Saccharomyces cerevisiae S288C: one gene and its partners. The protein of the gene in region 1 interacts with the protein of each later gene in a biochemical or structural test. Each region holds a gene or a part of one and is shown on either strand. Other genes may lie near its edges.

What was found. The genes of interacting proteins can lie anywhere in the genome.
Region 2: the proteins of PBS2 (region 1) and NBP2 form a complex in vitro, tested with the Saccharomyces cerevisiae proteins (3 studies listed by BioGRID, with this or other methods).
Region 3: of the proteins of PBS2 (region 1) and SSK2, one has a biochemical effect on the other in vitro, tested with the Saccharomyces cerevisiae proteins (4 studies listed by BioGRID, with this or other methods).

Annotation. Positions count from the first base shown.
Region 1 is NC_001142.9:175,597-184,095, forward strand, and holds PBS2 (mitogen-activated protein kinase kinase PBS2), read right to left. Parts: upstream 4,508-8,499; coding exon 2,501-4,507; downstream 1-2,500. Other genes in the region: TRK1 (Trk1p), read right to left, coding at 1-1,710; MCO6 (Mco6p), read right to left, coding at 5,955-6,113; SPT10 (Spt10p), read right to left, coding at 6,702-8,499. UniProt on the Saccharomyces cerevisiae protein: Kinase involved in a signal transduction pathway that is activated by changes in the osmolarity of the extracellular environment. Activates the MAP kinase HOG1 by concomitant phosphorylation at 'Thr-174' and 'Tyr-176'.
Region 2 is NC_001136.10:779,890-782,769, forward strand, and holds NBP2 (adaptor protein NBP2), read right to left. Parts: upstream 1,212-2,880; coding exon 501-1,211; downstream 1-500. Other genes in the region: ACL4 (Acl4p), read left to right, coding at 1-317; U2-type spliceosomal complex subunit CWC15, read left to right, coding at 1,534-2,061; SEC1 (Sec1p), read right to left, coding at 2,152-2,880. UniProt on the Saccharomyces cerevisiae protein: Negatively regulates the high-osmolarity glycerol (HOG) pathway through its negative regulation of the HOG1 kinase activity. Mediates the binding between the PTC1 phosphatase and the PBS2 MAP/ERK kinase (MEK).
Region 3 is NC_001146.8:680,194-687,229, forward strand, and holds SSK2 (mitogen-activated protein kinase kinase kinase SSK2), read right to left. Parts: upstream 5,241-7,036; coding exon 501-5,240; downstream 1-500. Other genes in the region: ALG12 (dolichyl-P-Man:Man(7)GlcNAc(2)-PP-dolichol alpha-1,6-mannosyltransferase), read left to right, coding at 1-261; putative serine/threonine-protein kinase PPG1, read left to right, coding at 5,817-6,923. UniProt on the Saccharomyces cerevisiae protein: Kinase involved in a signal transduction pathway that is activated by changes in the osmolarity of the extracellular environment. Activates the PBS2 MAP kinase kinase by phosphorylation.

The DNA.
Region 1 (8,499 bases):
GCGGTGCAGGTTCTGCTGCAGTTGGTGTTTTTCTTGCTGTTGTTGGTGCGATTTGAGTTCTGAATCAGAATGTGGTTCAGACTGCTGTACTCGTTCATCTTCATCGCCGCTTTCGTTGTCAGCAAAGTATTCTTCGTTGTTATCGCCGTCGTTGTCATCGTCATCATCATCATCATCCATATCAGTAATAGGTTTTCTATCTGAAACATTGTTACTGCTGTTTTTCTCAATTGAACCAGTAGAAAGCCTTCTCTTAATTTGTTGCCGTATTCGCCGCGCTTTAGGAAAATGTTTCATGAGGTACTTCTTCGATGCTTTTTTTCGATAAAGAACGGAAGATTTTGGGTTCAAATCATCGAAGGTTGAAACTCTTTTTGAAATTTTTCTAGGAGGTTTAGTTATATCGAATTGAATTGATGGCCCATGCTTTTTGTCTGTTTCTGCGTTATCAGTAATGGCTATCGGGCCCGAATTTGATCTATGAGTATTTGTTCTTAATGAAGGTACTTTGTTACCAAAATTTGTGTGTAACGAGCTTTCGTCCGAAACGCTCGCCGTACTGTTTGCTTCACTTGACACGGAATTTTGATCAGTGTTACTTTCATTTCCCTTATCTCGAATCTTGATTTTGTTACCATTTATGCCGGTGGCCTTCTTTAGCTTATTGACATTACTTTTATATCTTGTGCCATCCGCAGGGGACCCGATGACTAAAGGGGGACCTTCATCTTCAGCAGTTGCTTCATGCTTACCTTGTAGCATCATAATGGATCGATACATATCGGCTGGGCTAATATCTCTTGAACCCCTTCTTTTTGCAAATTTCTCTGAGGGAACTCTTGCGGGTCTTTGTTTGCTGTGTGGCTCATCAAACCGAAGACTGCTTGGCTTGGGCTTCTGATTTAAACTTTCGTCTGCAACTGTGTTAGACGAACTACCTACCGTCGAGTAGGAGTTGTTCTCCTGATATTCTCCATTGTCATCCGTTTCGTCTTCCTTAACGAAATCATCTAAACTGCCACTGCTACCATTGTGATTCGTATTATTATTGCTGCTGTCCCTACTAATGTCATGAGAATTCTGGTCGCTGTGAACTGAGTCCTGCTCATCTCTATTAACCATTTCTCCGCTGAACAATTTTTCTTGGAAATCATCTGTTTTAGCTTGTTTCCTAGGATAAGACGTTCTTTGGGTACCTGTTCTATTCTTGGTCATGGTTCTTGCTGTTAGTTCCCTTTCTAAGATTGTTTTCGTTCTTCTCATCTTAAAATTTCGTCTAGAAGAGTCTCTAATACCATCGAAGTAGCGCTCAAACCAGTAAAGCCGTACAAATGCCAAGCAACTATGAACTGCAATTGGTGTTGATATGCAGCATACGATATACAGAACAATTTGTTGGTATAAGCTTAGATTGTTGATATCCACAGTATTTAAGCCACCTTGTGTAACTGCGCCCGCTGCTAAAAACAATGTATCAATGTATCTGGTATTCTTAATGGGATATAGCAGGATTGAAGTTATTAATGTCAGGGATATCGTGTAGAAGTAGTGAACCGCGATAAAACTGGGGAAGATATATTTTTTAACTGGAGCAAAATAGTGACCACATAGAGCAATAAAATCACGAAATTTATGGCCGAAAGATTTTTTATATCGTATTTCAAGAGATGCCAATGTGGGCACTCTACTCATCGTTCTTCTAAAATGCATTGTTAGTTATCAAAAAAAGGTAATAACTTTAAGTAAAATGGATAGGAATGACTTCCTTGAGAGCCAATAGAATACCCTCCTTCTTTTTAAGGCAATACAAGTGTGGAATCAGTGATGCTAATGGTAAGGTAAAAACAATGGGCGAAAGGAAAGCAACAGTAACAAAAAGTTTCTAATAATGTAAGAGCTCTTTATCTTGATAGGTAATTATTTACTGTTTTCCGTGAAAGTAGCAAAATTTAGAAGTTAGGGTAAGATACAGGTATAGTTCCTGGTCCAGACTCCACATCTACTCTCAATAACGTGGATTTGAACTTTCAAAACACCTTTTATTTTCTCGATGATTTTGGACTTTTTTTTCTTTCCTAGCCTTGAGCCGTAAAGAGCGGAAAAACCATCAGACAATTCCAGAGCATTTTTTCTTTCTTGCGTTGTCAGCCCCGAACGTAAATAATTTCGAGGAGTCGATGGCCGTAGCAATAATCGAATAACACAATATATTGACGTCCACATCGCTTCACTTGCCGGTGCTTGAAATAACATCCCCTCAATACTCTGTCATAATTCGTGCCCTTTTTTAGGTTCGACAAAAGGAAGTCAGACGATATATATATATGAATATATATATATATATATGTCTATAACGAGTATAATGCAAGTTTATTACAATAAACATATGTATATGTAAGGTTTTTTTGTATTCGCCGCATCATTTCCACAGTAGCTTTTCGTCTGCTTTTTTTTTGTTGTTATATTCACGTGCCTGTTTGCTTTTATTTGGATATTAACGCTATAAACCACCCATATGTAATGCCGGTACATTTTTAGATAAACCATTCTCACCACGTTCCCGTAAGATTTTGTTGCGCCTTTCTAATCGTTCAGTGATATACTCACTCATGTGGACATCCTGGTTTCTGTATTTTACTAACCAAGGATGCTCTGTTAAAGCTGCGTATGTAGGTCTTCTTTCCGGAATCTTTTGTAGACATAAAGAAACAAAATCTTGTGCGTCAGAACTGAATTTATCTGAAGGTAATCTCGGTGGCGGCCCATCAACAATAGCGCTCAATTGAGAGAAAATGTTGTCGTATGTTTCTGGTGGATACGGATATCTACCTAGTGCCATTTCCAGAATGCTTAAACCTAAAGACCAGATGTCTGACTGTACGGTATAGGTGGCTCTATCTGGATTCAACGATTTGATTCGTTCAGGTGCCATGTATGACTGACAACCAATATTAGTCTTCGCTAAAGATGCCACCAAATTACCAGAAACACCGAAATCGCACAGCTTTACGGTGCCTTGGTTGGCTGAACATAAAATATTTGTTGGTTTGACATCTCTGTGTATGATATTATGCTGCTCTTTGAGTTCTTTTAGTCCATGAATGACAGCATTGGCAATAAACGCTAGCTGAGGTTCATCAATGCCGCCGATTTCAGATGATTCGTCGTATATTTTATCCAAGGAACCACCATCCATGTATTCCATACACATGTAGACGGCGCCCTCAATAAAGAATGCACCATAAAAATCCACAATATAGGGAGAATTGCATTTATGCAAAACTTCTAGTTCCATTAAAATTTGTCTAAATTTAGCCTCATCTAGCTCCAAACGGACTTCCTTCGTCGCCATAATAACATTTGTGGGCTTATGCAGTACCTTTGAGACGTTACCATAGTTACCATGACCCAGTTCATCCAAAAATTCTAGTTCGTCCAATGTAATTCTCGAACTAGAACCATTGCTGAAATCTATTCCTTTAGAGGATAGCGATAGTTTGCCTGCAAAATTCAAAGAGCCGGATTTGATATCCACGTATTTCGAGAAATTTGCGAAAAGACCACCACCACCACTACTACCAGAATTTGAAGAGTTGTTGCTGTTTCCAGTTCTGGGTGTAGTGCCTACAGTGTCATGTGGGCCTTCGGTACTTGATGAGGTGGATGTGCTTTGCACACCATTTATCAAAGAACCCGGATTCGATCTTTTCCCTTCAACAACTTTGCTGTTTGATAAGGTTTCTATATGTTTTTTGTTTGAAGGGCTTGGGGCAAACTGCTGCGGCTGTTGAGCTGTTTTAGTGGGCATTTTTAATGACATTCCTCCTGGTGGTAATTTGAGCCCTCGACGGGCACTTAAACTTTGTTTTGGTGTGTTGATTATAGCAGGGGCCTTATGCGGGGCAACATTTGGTCTTGTAGGGTGCTGGGTAGAAAGCGGCCTTCTTGGTGCCCTTCTGTTAGGATTCAGCAATTGCGCCTTATGTGTTGCTGATGCAGTATTAGAAACTGACGGCGTAATGTCAGTAGCAGGTAGGCCAGTATTTACACCAATTGTTGTGGCGGTAATTTTGGTTGTATCGATGTTAATATTTACGTCGGTAATGTTTTGTGTTTCTTGATTGTCCAGAACGTTCTTAAGAGTGCTCTTGGAGGACGCTTGCACGACTTGGCTACTCATTCTTTGTGAAACCTTAGAACTTCCTGCTACGGGAAGAGGCGGCAATGGCTTATTAACAATCTGCTGAATATGTTTAGGTGATTGTGAACTGCCTTTGTCTTGCTCGCTTTGATTACTGCCCACGCTGGCAGACCTTTTCAATGCACGTTGTTCTTGAAAAGCTTTTACACGAGCATGAAGGTCAGCGTTGATGTTATTGTAGTGCGAGGACGTCGAAGATGTTCTCTTGACAGCAGAGCCATTATCTGAGCCTGTTTGCTCGTTTAATTGGATAGATGACTTACCAGTTTTCTCATGGAGACTGAGGTTAGCAAACTTGTCTTCCATCTTTGAGAAATTAACGTCTCGATCTGCTTAATATAATAATGTATCTATAGAAATGTACGGAAAAACGGGTACTTTATCAGTTTTAGTTGTATGACGTTGATGTCTGGAGAAGGACAAGGAAAAAGTAGTTCTGTGAAACGTGTACCCACAATAGCAGCTACCCTTGTCTTCTTTTTTAGTAATTCTTTTCTTCCGGCAAGCAGGTAAGCAGTTATCTCTGTGTCCAGATCCCTTTGAAGTAAAGTTTATTCAATTTTCTATAGAACGTGTATGGCTCACGAAATCGCTCACTAGTAGACAACACACGTTAGAAAGATCCTTTCAGGTGCAACGGGACGCAGAGGGAAAAAACTGGAAAAATTGCCACTAATGAAAAGGCAAATAGAGGATGAAAAAGAAAAGGTAAATGCAGATGAAAGGACGAAGACAGATGCGATAAGAACAGCGTTTGAGATCGGATGCAAAGGATATAGTTTTGCTCTGGCACTGTGTTAGTGTGCTTGTGGGTGCTTTTTCTTCTATTTGCAAGAAAATGTGACCTTTGCGGATAACCTATATAAGACGGGGTTTCCTTGCTTTGAAAAGTTTAAAACAGATATTCTTGCAGATACAGGAGTACATACTTGTGCGATCATCACCAAGATAACAAGAGATTAATCAAATATAGAAACAGATATATAAAATAGATACAGAGTGCTACGCAATAAGATTTTTTTTTCCTGTTGCAATACTATACTACGTCTTGACATGAACTCTCAACAGTGATATTTCTGGGGAGTTGTATCGATGTGTAGTAACTGGTAGTAGTCTAGTAATGAGTTGTTCTCATGTTAGTGAATATTCTGTATGCTTCCGTGCCTGCTGCTATGCTCAAGGGGAACAGAAAAGCAACACGCTCAAAATAGTAATCTACATGAGAAACAAGACTTAGTCATTGCCTTTTGCCAGAATTGGCTTCGGCCGTAGCTGTTGAAGTTAATCCCGCAGTAAAAGACAAACGGCTCCGTATTCAGCAGTTCTATATATCACCTCATTAAGACACAGACGATCTTGACAGTTGCAGCAGAAACACGCCACCATATGTTCTTGTAGCTACACCACGATTGAGTGTCTGCACTCTTATTCAAGTGTTTCAACTAAAAATAAGTCTAAGCTGAAAGATTATTACTTTCATTTGATTTTTTTATTTTTGAAGCCCCATTTCCTTAAATCGTTCTCGTGGACGAGATTAAAAATAGAAATGATGTAGAGGAGATGCACTAAACATTGCCTCCCTGCACCGCACAATTACTGTAGCCATTGTGCTTATTTATATCTACCTATATATCTAAGCAGCTATATCATGGGCTTGACATACGCGACTTCTGCTTGCTTTTGTGCTCTCGTTCAAAGAGCAATTACTTCATTCCATCTCAAGAAGGACTGTTGCAGGTCATTATTTCATTTCTTACTGCACGTATTTCGATTGAGCTGCTAATGAAATCACAACACAACTACCCAAATAGCCTAAGAATTGGAAAAAGGCCCTTCTTGATAATTGGATCTGTTGAGTTGGCGTATGCAAAGCTGTAAATATTGAACGGATCTGGTTGAAAAAGAAAATCATGCTTTCTTTATTGTCGCGTAAACTGTACACTGCTGCAATTATCTAGCTGGCTGCTAGTAGCAATGTGCTCTTCGTTACGCTACCGTAGCTTTTCTCCGTGAGTGACTGATTTTGCTGCTGTACATTTAACTCCTTTTCTATTTAAATTGTGCGCTGCCATTTTCCGCATCGGAAAACCTAAGACAAATTTTGATGAGTATACTTGGTACGTGCCCACGCAGCCAATAGTGTCTCGTTCACGGCATCAGATACAGCAGTACTTAAAAGGGCACTGAGGATCAGGTTTCCTAATCTGGAAAATTTTGCAGCACAAAGCTTAGTTATTTATCTCCGATTATGGATTTCTGCAGTACCTAGGTTTCAACGTAAAACTGTAACAGAACCTTTCGTCATGCAAGCATAATTGAGTTGAGTGCCTTGTTTCCAATTTCAGTTTCCAATTTTACTTCAAAAATCACTTCTGAAATAAGATTTAAGACTTGTCAACCCTGTTCCAAAAGTGGACGCATCATTAAATGTACCTTTTTTCTGTACAAACTTTATAGTTTCTAGGGTTGGTGATGTGACCGTCTCTGGCAGAGTCGCAATTTAATAATAAATATTAGAATTGTGCTCTGTAAATGTATTAGATTCGTTGTTAACAATCTTAGTGACTGAATTCTCATTACCTTCACTGTTGTTCAAATCGATTTGTTGGCCAGTCACATCTTCACCTCGATGATTTATCTTCTGTTGTTGTTCCTTTTGGACCATTTCTAGAGCGGCCATGACGTTATCTTCGAGGCTCAACATAGCATCGTTCATTATAGTATGGTCATTTCTATCTAAATCGGGAACTGAATGGTTCATATCTCGTTCATCACGGTTGACGGGGTTCGCGTGATCCTGCGATTCGTTATTCGTTAAATGGGGTACAATTCCGTTGGAGGCAACATCCAAGTATTTTCGTCTTTTTCTTGAGTTTTCTTCCTCCACGAATCTATTGAAGGAATTCATTGACTGTTCGTCGTCCAATAGTGGCGTGCTCTGTATTGAGGAAAGAAACTCGGATCTTTTATTCGCTTCGTTGGCTTCAGCTGTTGTTGCGGGACTATTCGTGGCGTTCTGGAATGTGGGTTGTACGATATTAGTGTCTGGCGGAGTGGGTTCACCCTCCACATCATTCAGCGTACTGGAAATAATATTTTGAGGGAAATTTATTGCCTGTCCCAATAACGCATTATCATGCTTCTTGCTTTTTCTTGGATTGTTGATAGTTTCTATATGCTGCGTCGGTAGCATATGCGCCTGCTTAACTGCTCTCTTTTGTTCAATTATTACCCCTGTCCCGTCTTTGTACCTCATCTTGCATTTTTGGCACCGAGAGATTACCTCCGAAACAGTACTCTTGATTCCTCTCCAATGGTATTTTTCACCAATTTTGGAGGTCACCTTGTTGATGCCTAAATGTTCCATTAAATGTATCTCTAATGCAATCTGGATTTGTTGATCCGTGTCATAAATGATTTCTTTTCCTTTTGTCATCAACTTGCCATTCAATACCGAATGAGTTTTGGAAAGTACTCTTAATCTAGCCTTTTCGTTTCTATCACAATGTAAAGGATACTTGCCTGTTTCCAGAAAATGCTTTAATCGTTCATATTTCCCAATTTCGATACTCTTTTGAGGATCTCGTAACAAATCTATACTTTTCGTAATATGTGTGAACTCTTTACCATACATGAAAGAATCTACTGGGACATCAAAGCCCTTGAGAATCCCGGCTTCAGGCAGCTTTCCAATCCGCCTAAAGTTCAATCCTTCCAAAATTCTTCTGATTCCTACGTTCGTTCCGTAAATTAACGGGAAAAAGGAGGACGTAAATCCTAATTTCTTTGACCATTCTATGAATGTTTCCATTAGTGTTTTCCCAATACCTTTTCCACGAATACCAGCATTGACCAGAAATGTTCCTGTGACCACATGCGCTGACCGTCCAGGGTATGCTGGTTTGAGGTCAAATATGCCTAGACATTGCTTCTCCCACTGCATACTTAGATTTAAATTGCGACGTTCTTTTCGTTTCTTATATTGGGTGGTGTGCTTCGTGGTTTCTATTTCTGTTCCAAAATTATCATTTGTGTCCGCTTCAGTATCCATACTATAATCCAGTTCTGGTATTTCGCCTAACACCATAATACAAACGTGACCATCATTATGAAACCAGACATTTTTGAATTCTTCTAGTGATAAAGTCTCGTAATAAGGAAAACTATCTCCCTTTTCCACTTCCATGTTAAATTCATCTAGAAGGAAATTTAAGAGCCCTAGCGGCAATAAATCAGGATACGCAGGTATAGGATACATCGTAGCTATTGTTTCTCCATCTTTCAATAAAATGGTATAC
Region 2 (2,880 bases), on another chromosome or scaffold:
AAGTAAGCCTGCGTCCGGAAAATATATACGAGTTTAACCAACTCATTCAAGAAGTTCCTTTGGATTTATCCCACGAACCAATCTCCCAGTTAATCTATGACTCAAGATTAGCGCTAAGTTTTGCATTGCAAGCAGGTGTCAATGCTGACAGCAAAGATGAAATTGTGCAAGAATTATTGGGCGGTGCTAATGCTTTACTCCAAGAAATTGGTGGTCCTCTAGATCCAAGTGAGTTAACACAAATCAAGAAGGGTGATTTAGTGAATGAGAATGAAGACTTGGAAGAGTTGGACATAGAGGAAGAATATTCTGACTAATAGTCTTCTAATTTAACATATGCATAAGTACATACACTGATATATATGTATATATCCGTAAGAAACGGAAATTATGACATAGAACAGATGGAAGAAGATTCGGCCAGGCATACCGCCAGGGTGGTGACCTCTTTATCTGTTTTTAGTGAGTATTTTACTGTCATAACCAATTGGAATTTGTATTCAATCCGATATATCTAATTTTGTTTTCATATCTGCTTCGACCTCCGCAACATCATCAATATCTTCCCATTCATCGTTGTCGTCGTATTCATCTTCGTTAGTGTTATCAATATTGTTTTTAGGACTAACGCTCTGTGTAATCAAATGTGTCAAATAGAAAGGTCGAGCCTTATTCTCCACCTCGTTCTCACCATCTTCCGGCTGTATATAAGAGACAAACTCCTCCGGTACCAACCCTGTTTTTGATCCTGACTCATTTTCTGCTACTAGCCAACCTTGCCCATGCTTGTAACTGATAAATACGATGTCACCCTCAGCCAATCTCAATTCATTATCATTTTCGGGTTCGAAATCGTAGAGGGCAACAGCACGTTGGTTAACTATGTAGTCGTCTGGTAGTGTTATACTTTGTCTTTTATTGTATGTGTCTTCTCCATTTGAAGAATCTGAAACCATTTCATCCTCCTCATTGTCTCCATCAAAATAACCATAATGGAGAGGATTCGAATCTGCGTACGCATAATCTTTGATTGATATATAACCTATTGTGGTTGTTTCTGTATCTTCCATTGTGTCACTATTTCCTGCCTGCACTGCCTCCACCTCTCTCCCGTTCTGTAATACTGCCTCATTGAGAACACCTATAGTTTTTTTGAGACCAGATTTCAAAATATTGGTATCTTTTTGTGTGGTCGTTTCCATCGTTGCCATCGTAGATTCAATAAATATGTCAGTGGAAGTTAAAGTAAGGTAAAGTTGAGAAAAATACTTAAAATTTGTTAGTATCTATCACGTTTTATTGGTAGCTGTTATTATGTGTGATTGAGCGTGTTGTTACTGTGCACTGTGTTGCATTGTCCATTACAAGCTACTTCTGAAGTGAATTCTCCATTTCTCGCAACTGGAAAAATAAGTTGGTGTGACTAAAAATAATAGTCTATCTCTTCACGAAAAGGAAATAGGAATGACAAAGCTCCAAAAGGCTCCATAAAGAACTTGCTCAGAGGCTGGCATTTGAAAGGGCTACAAGACCATGACCACATCACACAGACCACAGTTAGAAGCAAGAAGCGGTGCAAAAGCGGCCGCTTATACACCAACAGGCATCGAGCATGCCAGATTACTACCAGGACATACAACATTAAAATACAGGAAATTTAAAGAGGAGGAAAATCTTAGAGCAAACTGTGCGCAAGAAGATAGGAGCAACGATAAATCTTTAGAGGAGGCAGTAATGAACGAAGAGAAACAGGATGTTGTGGGGAGTGGGAACCTCCAAGAAACCCGCAGTGAGAAAGACCAAAAAGACTCGTTGCAAGAGCTGCTGGTTACTCAAAAAAATAAAGTGGAAGATAAAGCAGAGCTTGAAGGAAATGAACAATTAAAGGGAGGAAATTCGTCTAGGCGATCGTGGAGAAAGGGCACGGCGTTTGGACGCCATAAAGTAACCAAAGAGACAAATATTAAGGAACATGCAACAAAAAAATCAGCGTCCGGATACATTAACGATATGACAAAATCTGAATATCATCAAGAATTTCTCCATAAGCATGTTAGATAGTACATAGGAACGATACATAAATAGTACGTTTATATCTTTTTTTTTTGACAAGAGCAAGTGATTTTTTTTATCACTGTCTTCTTTAAGGGATCATTTATCATGGTGAGATTTTCTTTTCAAGAACCTCGAGAATTTGCTACGTTTCTTCTCTTTTTCGGGTGGTTCTGACTTGAGAGAACCTGCTGCTTTGGGACTAGAAGTACCAGACTTAGGACTATTGTCTTGGCTTTTTAAATGAACATGAGAGACTGGTTGTGCCACCGGTTTCATTTCCCTTAGAAGGAAATCAGGCGGGTTTACTTGCTGGCGCTGATCTTCCTTGAATTTGAAAAATTCTCTAGGATTTTGTAAACGTTCCACTTCATCTAAGAATTTTGTTGGTGTTAATATCTCGTCGCTGCCAATAAAGATATCTCTGTTCTTCAAGTTTGATTGATCATAAGCAGCTTTAATTTCGGGAATTGATATACCACCAATAACATAGTAGAAGAATCTTTGTCTAGGTATGTTTTTTTTTATATTAGAGCTTTTCGTGGTCCAAGCTGCCTTGTGACGGGGATTCCTTAAGGATGAGGAGGAGTTAGCAGAGGTATTCGCTAAGCCTGCTTGGAATTCTTCTTCATTCAATAACTCAATTGGCTTGTCCTTTAAATATGGGAAGTATTGTTCGCTCAATAACAATGGATTCGCTATAACCTTTGAAAGAATATTCCCTACAGCGGGAACGAACCTTGAAGTGTGATAGATATTTGGATCATTCACTAAAGTATCATGAAACCATTCCTTTTGAAATGGTTTATCCTTCGGTTTGTCTTTGAT
Region 3 (7,036 bases), on another chromosome or scaffold:
GCCTCTCAATTGCCATTCGAGAATAAGACTACCAACCATTGGGAGCTAGTTAACACAACAAAGATGTTTACTGGATTTGACCCAACCTACATTAAGAACTTTGTTTTCCAAGAGAGAGTGAATGTTTTGTCTCTACTCAAACAGATCATTTTCGACAAGACCCCTACCGTTTTTTTGAAAGAATTGACGGCCAATTCGATTGTTAAAAGCGATGTCTTCTTCACCTATAAGAGAATCAAACAAGATGAAAAAACTGATTGATAATAGCTAACGTCAATTCCAATAAAATATATAGCGAGCGTTTTACATTAATCCACCTCGACTAGACTTCAAATTTTCACTTTTATATCTTACCTTTATAAATTTCTGTTCTCAAAATCAAAACAATTATAAAAAAATGCTATCATTAATCTTCTATCCTTGAATTAACATTATATACTCTCCCCCCACTACATTATATTTTGATTTTACATATAATACAACAAACCTTCTCAACTTAACTACTCTCTTTCCTCAGTATCTGTAGAGGAAGAATCGTCGCCAAAGGCTATTTCTCTAATTTGTACAATCCAAGGATCCATCAACAGCTCAACCGCACTGGCTCTCTTGGAGGGGTTTTGAATAAGACATCTTTCCAGAAATTTCATACCAGCAGACGACACTTCATCCTTAGTAGGGAATTGTGGGGTATGTCCTGCAGCAACATGGTACATGATAGCCCATTCATTATCTAAGTTAGCCCATGGCCGTCTACCAGTGATCATTTCTAATACCACGCAGCCTAACGACCAAACATCGTCTGCCCCAAGTTTGCCTTTGGTGGTAGATCCAGTGATGGATTCTGGAGCCATGTACATAGGAGTTCCCATCATGTCTAATAGAGCATTTTCGTTATTTTTCACTGCCTTTGAATCAGAAACATGGGTAACATCTTCGTGTTCACCATCTGCGTTTTCGATTTTGTTCATACTTGCCAATCTAGTTCCATTATTAGCAATTTTTTTAGCAGCACCAAAATCAACATACTTAATAACACCATTAAAATCTAGTAGGATGTTTTCGGGTTTAACATCACGGTGAACAATGCCGGATTCATGCAAATATGCAAGTCCTTCTAGCAATTGTAAAGTGTAGACTTGAGTGACCATTTCATCTTCAATACGACCATGCTCCAAAAGAGCTGCTAGGGAACCGCCTTCACAATATTCCATAAAGATGTTAACTTTATCACGATGAACTTCAACACCGTAATATGAAACTATATTTGGATGGTTCAATATCTCTAAGACACTCATTTCCTCCTTGATTAAGGGGAATATTTTTTGCATTGATTTGCTATCTTGAATATTGATTTCCTTGACTGCTAAAATCTCACCATTATCCAAATCAACAGCAGAATATACCCTTCCAAAAGTACCGCCACCAATAAAGTTCCTCTTTTGCCATCTCATAGAAACGTTCGATATGGAAGATGCCAAAGAAACAAGGTACTTGTTACCTTTGTCACTATCATCAATTACTTTACCAGTTTGATGAGGATTCCGCTTTATCCTTTCTTCCAATTCCATTATACTTTGTACTCGGAACTCGGAATTCACTTGTAGCATCATATCATCGTCAAACACATCTTCCAAATCAAGATTTGATCTAGCTTGTTGATTGATTTTCTCAACTTCTATGGAGCGTGCGCCTATTATATCAAAATGAGAAATAAGTAATGACATGCATTCTGAAATTTTTTGTTTTAAAGAAGAAAATTGGCATTCATCAAGAGCTAGTATGTTCCAACCGCTTACCATATGCATCGCGAACTCCATTGACGTGACACACCACCTAAATACCCTTTGATCAGTCGGATCACAGTCTTCAGCTAAGAACTTCAGCCATCCGATACTTAACCGCATCATTAAAAGTATTATAATGGATCTTTTTTCATTGTTGGCAACATTAATTCTCAAAAAGTTCAGACCAAAATCCCTCCCAAAAAGGAAAATATTATTCAATAAATCATTGACAGGACTTACCTTCTTGAACGTGGTCACAATCTTTGTATAGTTCTTCAGAACACTGTACGTGCATCTGAAATATGCTTTATTTATCCTTTGTAAGTTGTTTTTAACCGTTTCTGAGGAAGATTTTTTTTCCAAGAAAGAAACTGAGCTACCAGATATCTGTTGGAACCTGTCACATTGGTATTCTAAGGCATAACTGGATCCTTGGCACATCAAATCTATTGAATTAGGAATTACTTTCAAGTTCAATCCCTCTGGTTTAATTGTTTTGTTATCGGATAGATTATACATCTCACCCTCCCAAAGTAATGGCTCTTGCGGAGTCAATACCAATACATAACCAAGAGAGTTCAATCTTGTCTCCAGTTCATAAAACTCTTCCTCCGTGCTCCTGCTGTTTTCAAAATCCGGTTCACGATTGACTCTATTACCGTTATAAGATCTAGGCTGGGTGGTCAAATCGTTTTTGATATAATAAAATGGGGTACCATCATTCGAGATATCTGAACCCAGTGATGAGTTGGAGTTCCAATTATCATCCAAAGCATTATAAATTGTCAGACTGTTATTAATTTCTAGCTTAGGCACTAAATCACAACCGATGTCTGAATTCTTAATGATTCTTAAAATATCATCATCTTTACAGCCTAATAGCTCTGGGCTACCAATTAAATAAGTACCATTTTGCTCTAGGTAACCTCCTGTGTATATAAGAAAGTGGCCTGTTTCTTTTAGTTGCTTTAGCAGATAGTTGTGATCTTCTATCTTGTAGCGGACAAAATTTTGAAATGCTTTTGTCAAAATATTGGTGAATCTATTGAGTTTTCTTTTCATGGATCCAAGTATTTCGAATATTTGCACCAGCCATTTTTCAGCAGCAGCTTCATTCTCTAATTTTGGCGGAGTGTTTTGCTGCCTTAAAAGGTAAGCGTGCAATCTGTGAACCAATCTAAGTGTCAACTTCGTAAATTCTGCTGCGATCAGTTCGCCTGCATCATCAATATAATAGCCGACGTTTCTAAACATTTCCCAATATTTTAATAACAGATCAGGTTCTTTAGAAGTCTTGAATGAGTTTTTGCCACTATATAATATTCTCAGTTCCAAAATGGAGAAAAAATATTCCAATCCTTCAACAACGGTATGATCAAATTCGGGATCGATTTTCACTTTAAAAAACCAGTCATTACAGTAAGAAGCAACAGTGAATTTCATTTGGACTGCCAACTTAATATATGTACTAAAATCGTCCATCATTTGATCGATCATCATCAAGGTTGGATTCTGTATTTTCTTCGCGTAAGATAGGCGAATTAGTATTATATCTTTTACCAAACGCATTGGAAACATCAATAAAAATTCCAGATCTTGATCCAAATAAGATAGATTCAATTCATTCCAAGTTTTTTGGTATTTCAAGAAGAAAAATTTGGCCTTCAAAATCCATGGTGCTAATGGAAAGAATATTTTTTTTTGAAATATCAGTTCAATATCCTTTTCCTTCATAATTTGCTCCGCAAAGCGTTTACAATTAGTGGCGAAAACGGCTGGATCATCCAAATTCACGGTGGTGTTATCCACTTCGGTAGTGCTTTCTAGCTCTTTATTGCCAACTATCCATTTTTTCAGGTACGCAATATTAGTATCAAAGTTAAATTTGAAATTAAGCCAACTATTCAAAGTATCTATTCGATTCCTGAATGCTTCTGTTTTAGTAATGGGTTTTTCAGCATGCATTCTTTTAATGTTAGGCCATAGATTTAAGACTCTATAATATTTGTCTACTAGTGATTTGATAGTCTCTGCAGCCTCGTCAGCGCTCATATTATCTTCTAGTTTAAAGGCCATGATTTCTTGAAATACGGAGTCAGTAGAATCCCTAAAAATCCTCAGAGATTTGTTCTGATCTTCCACGGTCCTCCCATTCATCCATGCCTTCAACTCAATCCAAATGTCATCTGAAAACTGAGTATTGAAGCCAGGGCCTTTCCCTTGATTTGCAATCTTCGTTTTTTCATTCCTCACAATATCTCCCTTCAGTACCTTAGATAACATTGTTTGCCATTCAAATCGGTTGTTCACCATAGGATTTTGTAACAATTTTGACAGCAAATCCTCGCTCCCCAGTATGGAATGCCACTCCTCATCTTCTATTTCACACGGTTGATCATTGTTCACATCCCTCAACCAATCCAATTTGCCCTTTAGATAATTTAGGCTCATCGAAACAACATTTTCATTATTTTTTGTGCTCGACGTAATAAAATTATAACCAAAATTGAAGTCGTTATCTTTATCCTCACCTTCTACCTTTAAAAGATCATCCATTTCTAGTTCTAAGTCATCTTCACCTTTGTTACTAAAATTTTCTTCGTCATCTTCAAAGTTGGATGATGCGACTATACCTCTAGTGTAATAATCATCATTAGCACGGTTTCTCATTTTTCTTAAATATAACTGTTCATTTAATACATATTGTTTTTTGTATGTTCGGAGGCTCGTTGTGCTTCCACCATGGTGGCCTACAGACCGTTGCGAGCTATTTGTCGTGACAATATCCTGCAAAGTGGAGGAACTTGTTGACCCATTTGGTTGCGATCTGGTGGGAATGTGTTTGTTCGAAGTTTGGTTTGTAATATTTTGTGGCGTTGACATAATCGATGTATTCGTTGTATTTAGTGAAGCCAGTTCTGGTGATATCACTAACGTTGGGGTCGTCAATAATGGATCTTGATTACTATTCACGGGAGCGGGCTTCTTAATAATCTCGCTCTCTGTTTTACTAGCCTCAACTTTCTTATGTACAGGAACAGGTTGAGTAGACAACTTCGGTAGAGACTGCTGAGGATTTTTTGGTAGAGGAAGACCAATATTCGAGGGCCGTCTACTAGATCTTGCCGAGGAGCTGGAGGACCCAGAAATGGCATTTTGATGAAAAAACTGACCTTGAGGTATACCCGGAAGACGATTGAATAGCTGTACTGTATTTAATGGAGACTCTCCAGGGCTGTAAACAGCGTTTGGTGATCTAAAGTACTGGGTAGAATGCAGCCCTGGGCTGATGGGCGATGACGCTACTCGAGCCTGCGTAGTATTGGAATTTCGCCCTAAACTTTCCGACCTTAGTCTAGATGAAGATGATGAAGATGACTGCCTCATCTTGGAGCTGCTGGGCTTTTCCGTGGAATCGCCGTAAGGCTTATAATTGAAGTAGTCTGAATGCGACATTATTTGTGCCTGTCAAATAGTTTACGCAAAGGCTTCTCTTCTTTTTAGTAATGGCAGACTGTTTGTACTTGAAACTGCCCAATAGTAACTTGAAGGACAGACGGAGCTCACACAAAAGTTAACAAATATGCTGGAACCTTTTTTTTTCCTTTGAATTCTTTGTAAACCAGTAATTCGTTTTGAAAACACCCGTTCTTAGCTGTTCTTTAACAGTACTACTCTCTAAGGCAATAACACACTGGGGCAGCAACAATTACAATCTTCTAACCTCTTCTAATCTGCAGATTTGGCTTCTTTCTATCTCTGTTTACCCACCTTTATCACTCTTTTCAGATTAATCAATTCTTTCCATACAAAGAAACGCCCGAAAAGTGGCGCGAGTTTCCCGGGTGATGGAGCAGTAATTAATAATGCAAAACTGCTAAAATACCCACTGTTTCAGGGTATGAAACGCGGTATTTTCAGCGAGTTGTAGGTAATTTGGAACAGTTCGTGACTGTTTATTAAGTTCCACTCATTGCAGTTGTATCCCCACTGTGTACTTTTATTTTTGGTTAGAGAATTGGCCCAGTAGAGATGGAATTGGACGAATGTTTAGAAAGGCTATACAAGGCCCAGTTACTACCTGAAGTGACTGTAAGGGCACTCTGCTTTAAGCTGAAGGAAATGCTAGTGAAGGAGTCAAACGTGATTCACATTCAGACCCCTGTCACAGTCGTGGGGGATATGCATGGACAGTTTCACGATATGCTGGAGATCTTCCAAATAGGCGGCCCTGTTCCTGATACGAATTATCTGTTCTTGGGCGACTATGTAGACAGGGGGTTGTACAGTGTGGAAACAATTATGCTATTGATTGTGCTTAAGCTTCGATATCCTAGTAGAATTCATCTTTTGAGGGGAAACCACGAGTCACGTCAAATCACGCAGAGCTATGGTTTCTACACGGAGTGCTTGAACAAGTACGGTGGCAATTCAAGAGTTTGGCAATATTTGACAGATATATTTGACTATCTAGTGTTATGCTGTATTATCGACGACGAAATTTTTTGTGTTCATGGTGGGCTCTCGCCCAATGTTCAAACCATAGATCAGATCAAGATTATTGATAGATTTCGAGAAATTCCACACGATGGCGCCATGGCAGACTTGGTTTGGTCTGATCCGGAAGAAAACAATAACCCCACGTTAGATCATCCAGATAACTCTGGACAACATTTCCAGGTGTCACCTCGTGGAGCAGGTTATACTTTCGGAAGAAGCGTGGTGGAGAAATTCTTACGTATGAACGATATGAACAGAATATACAGAGCCCATCAGTTATGTAACGAAGGTTACCAGATATATTTTGATGGATTGGTTACTACTGTATGGTCGGCGCCAAACTATTGTTATCGGTGCGGCAATAAAGCATCTATTCTGGAGCTGTATAGTAAAGATCAATTCTACTTCAACGTTTTCGAAGAGGCACCTGAAAATAAACTGTTGAAAGAGAACAGTATGAACGACAATGCCTTAGAAGATAGCATATCTAATCCGGTAGCCAACAGGAAATTGATTGCAGATTATTTCGAAGACGACTCTGCCTCCGCAGATGGCTCCACGGACCCTGAAATGTACATATTTTCAGATGTATACCAAGCCAGATCTGCTTCTAACAGACATGTTGATTACTTCTTGTAGCTTACTAAACAATAGAAAAGCATTATAGAGACAACGCCATCTTATTATTTCTACATATTCTATCTCTCTCGGTTGCAAATGTATGTATTGTGTATTTAGATCAAAAAAAAAAA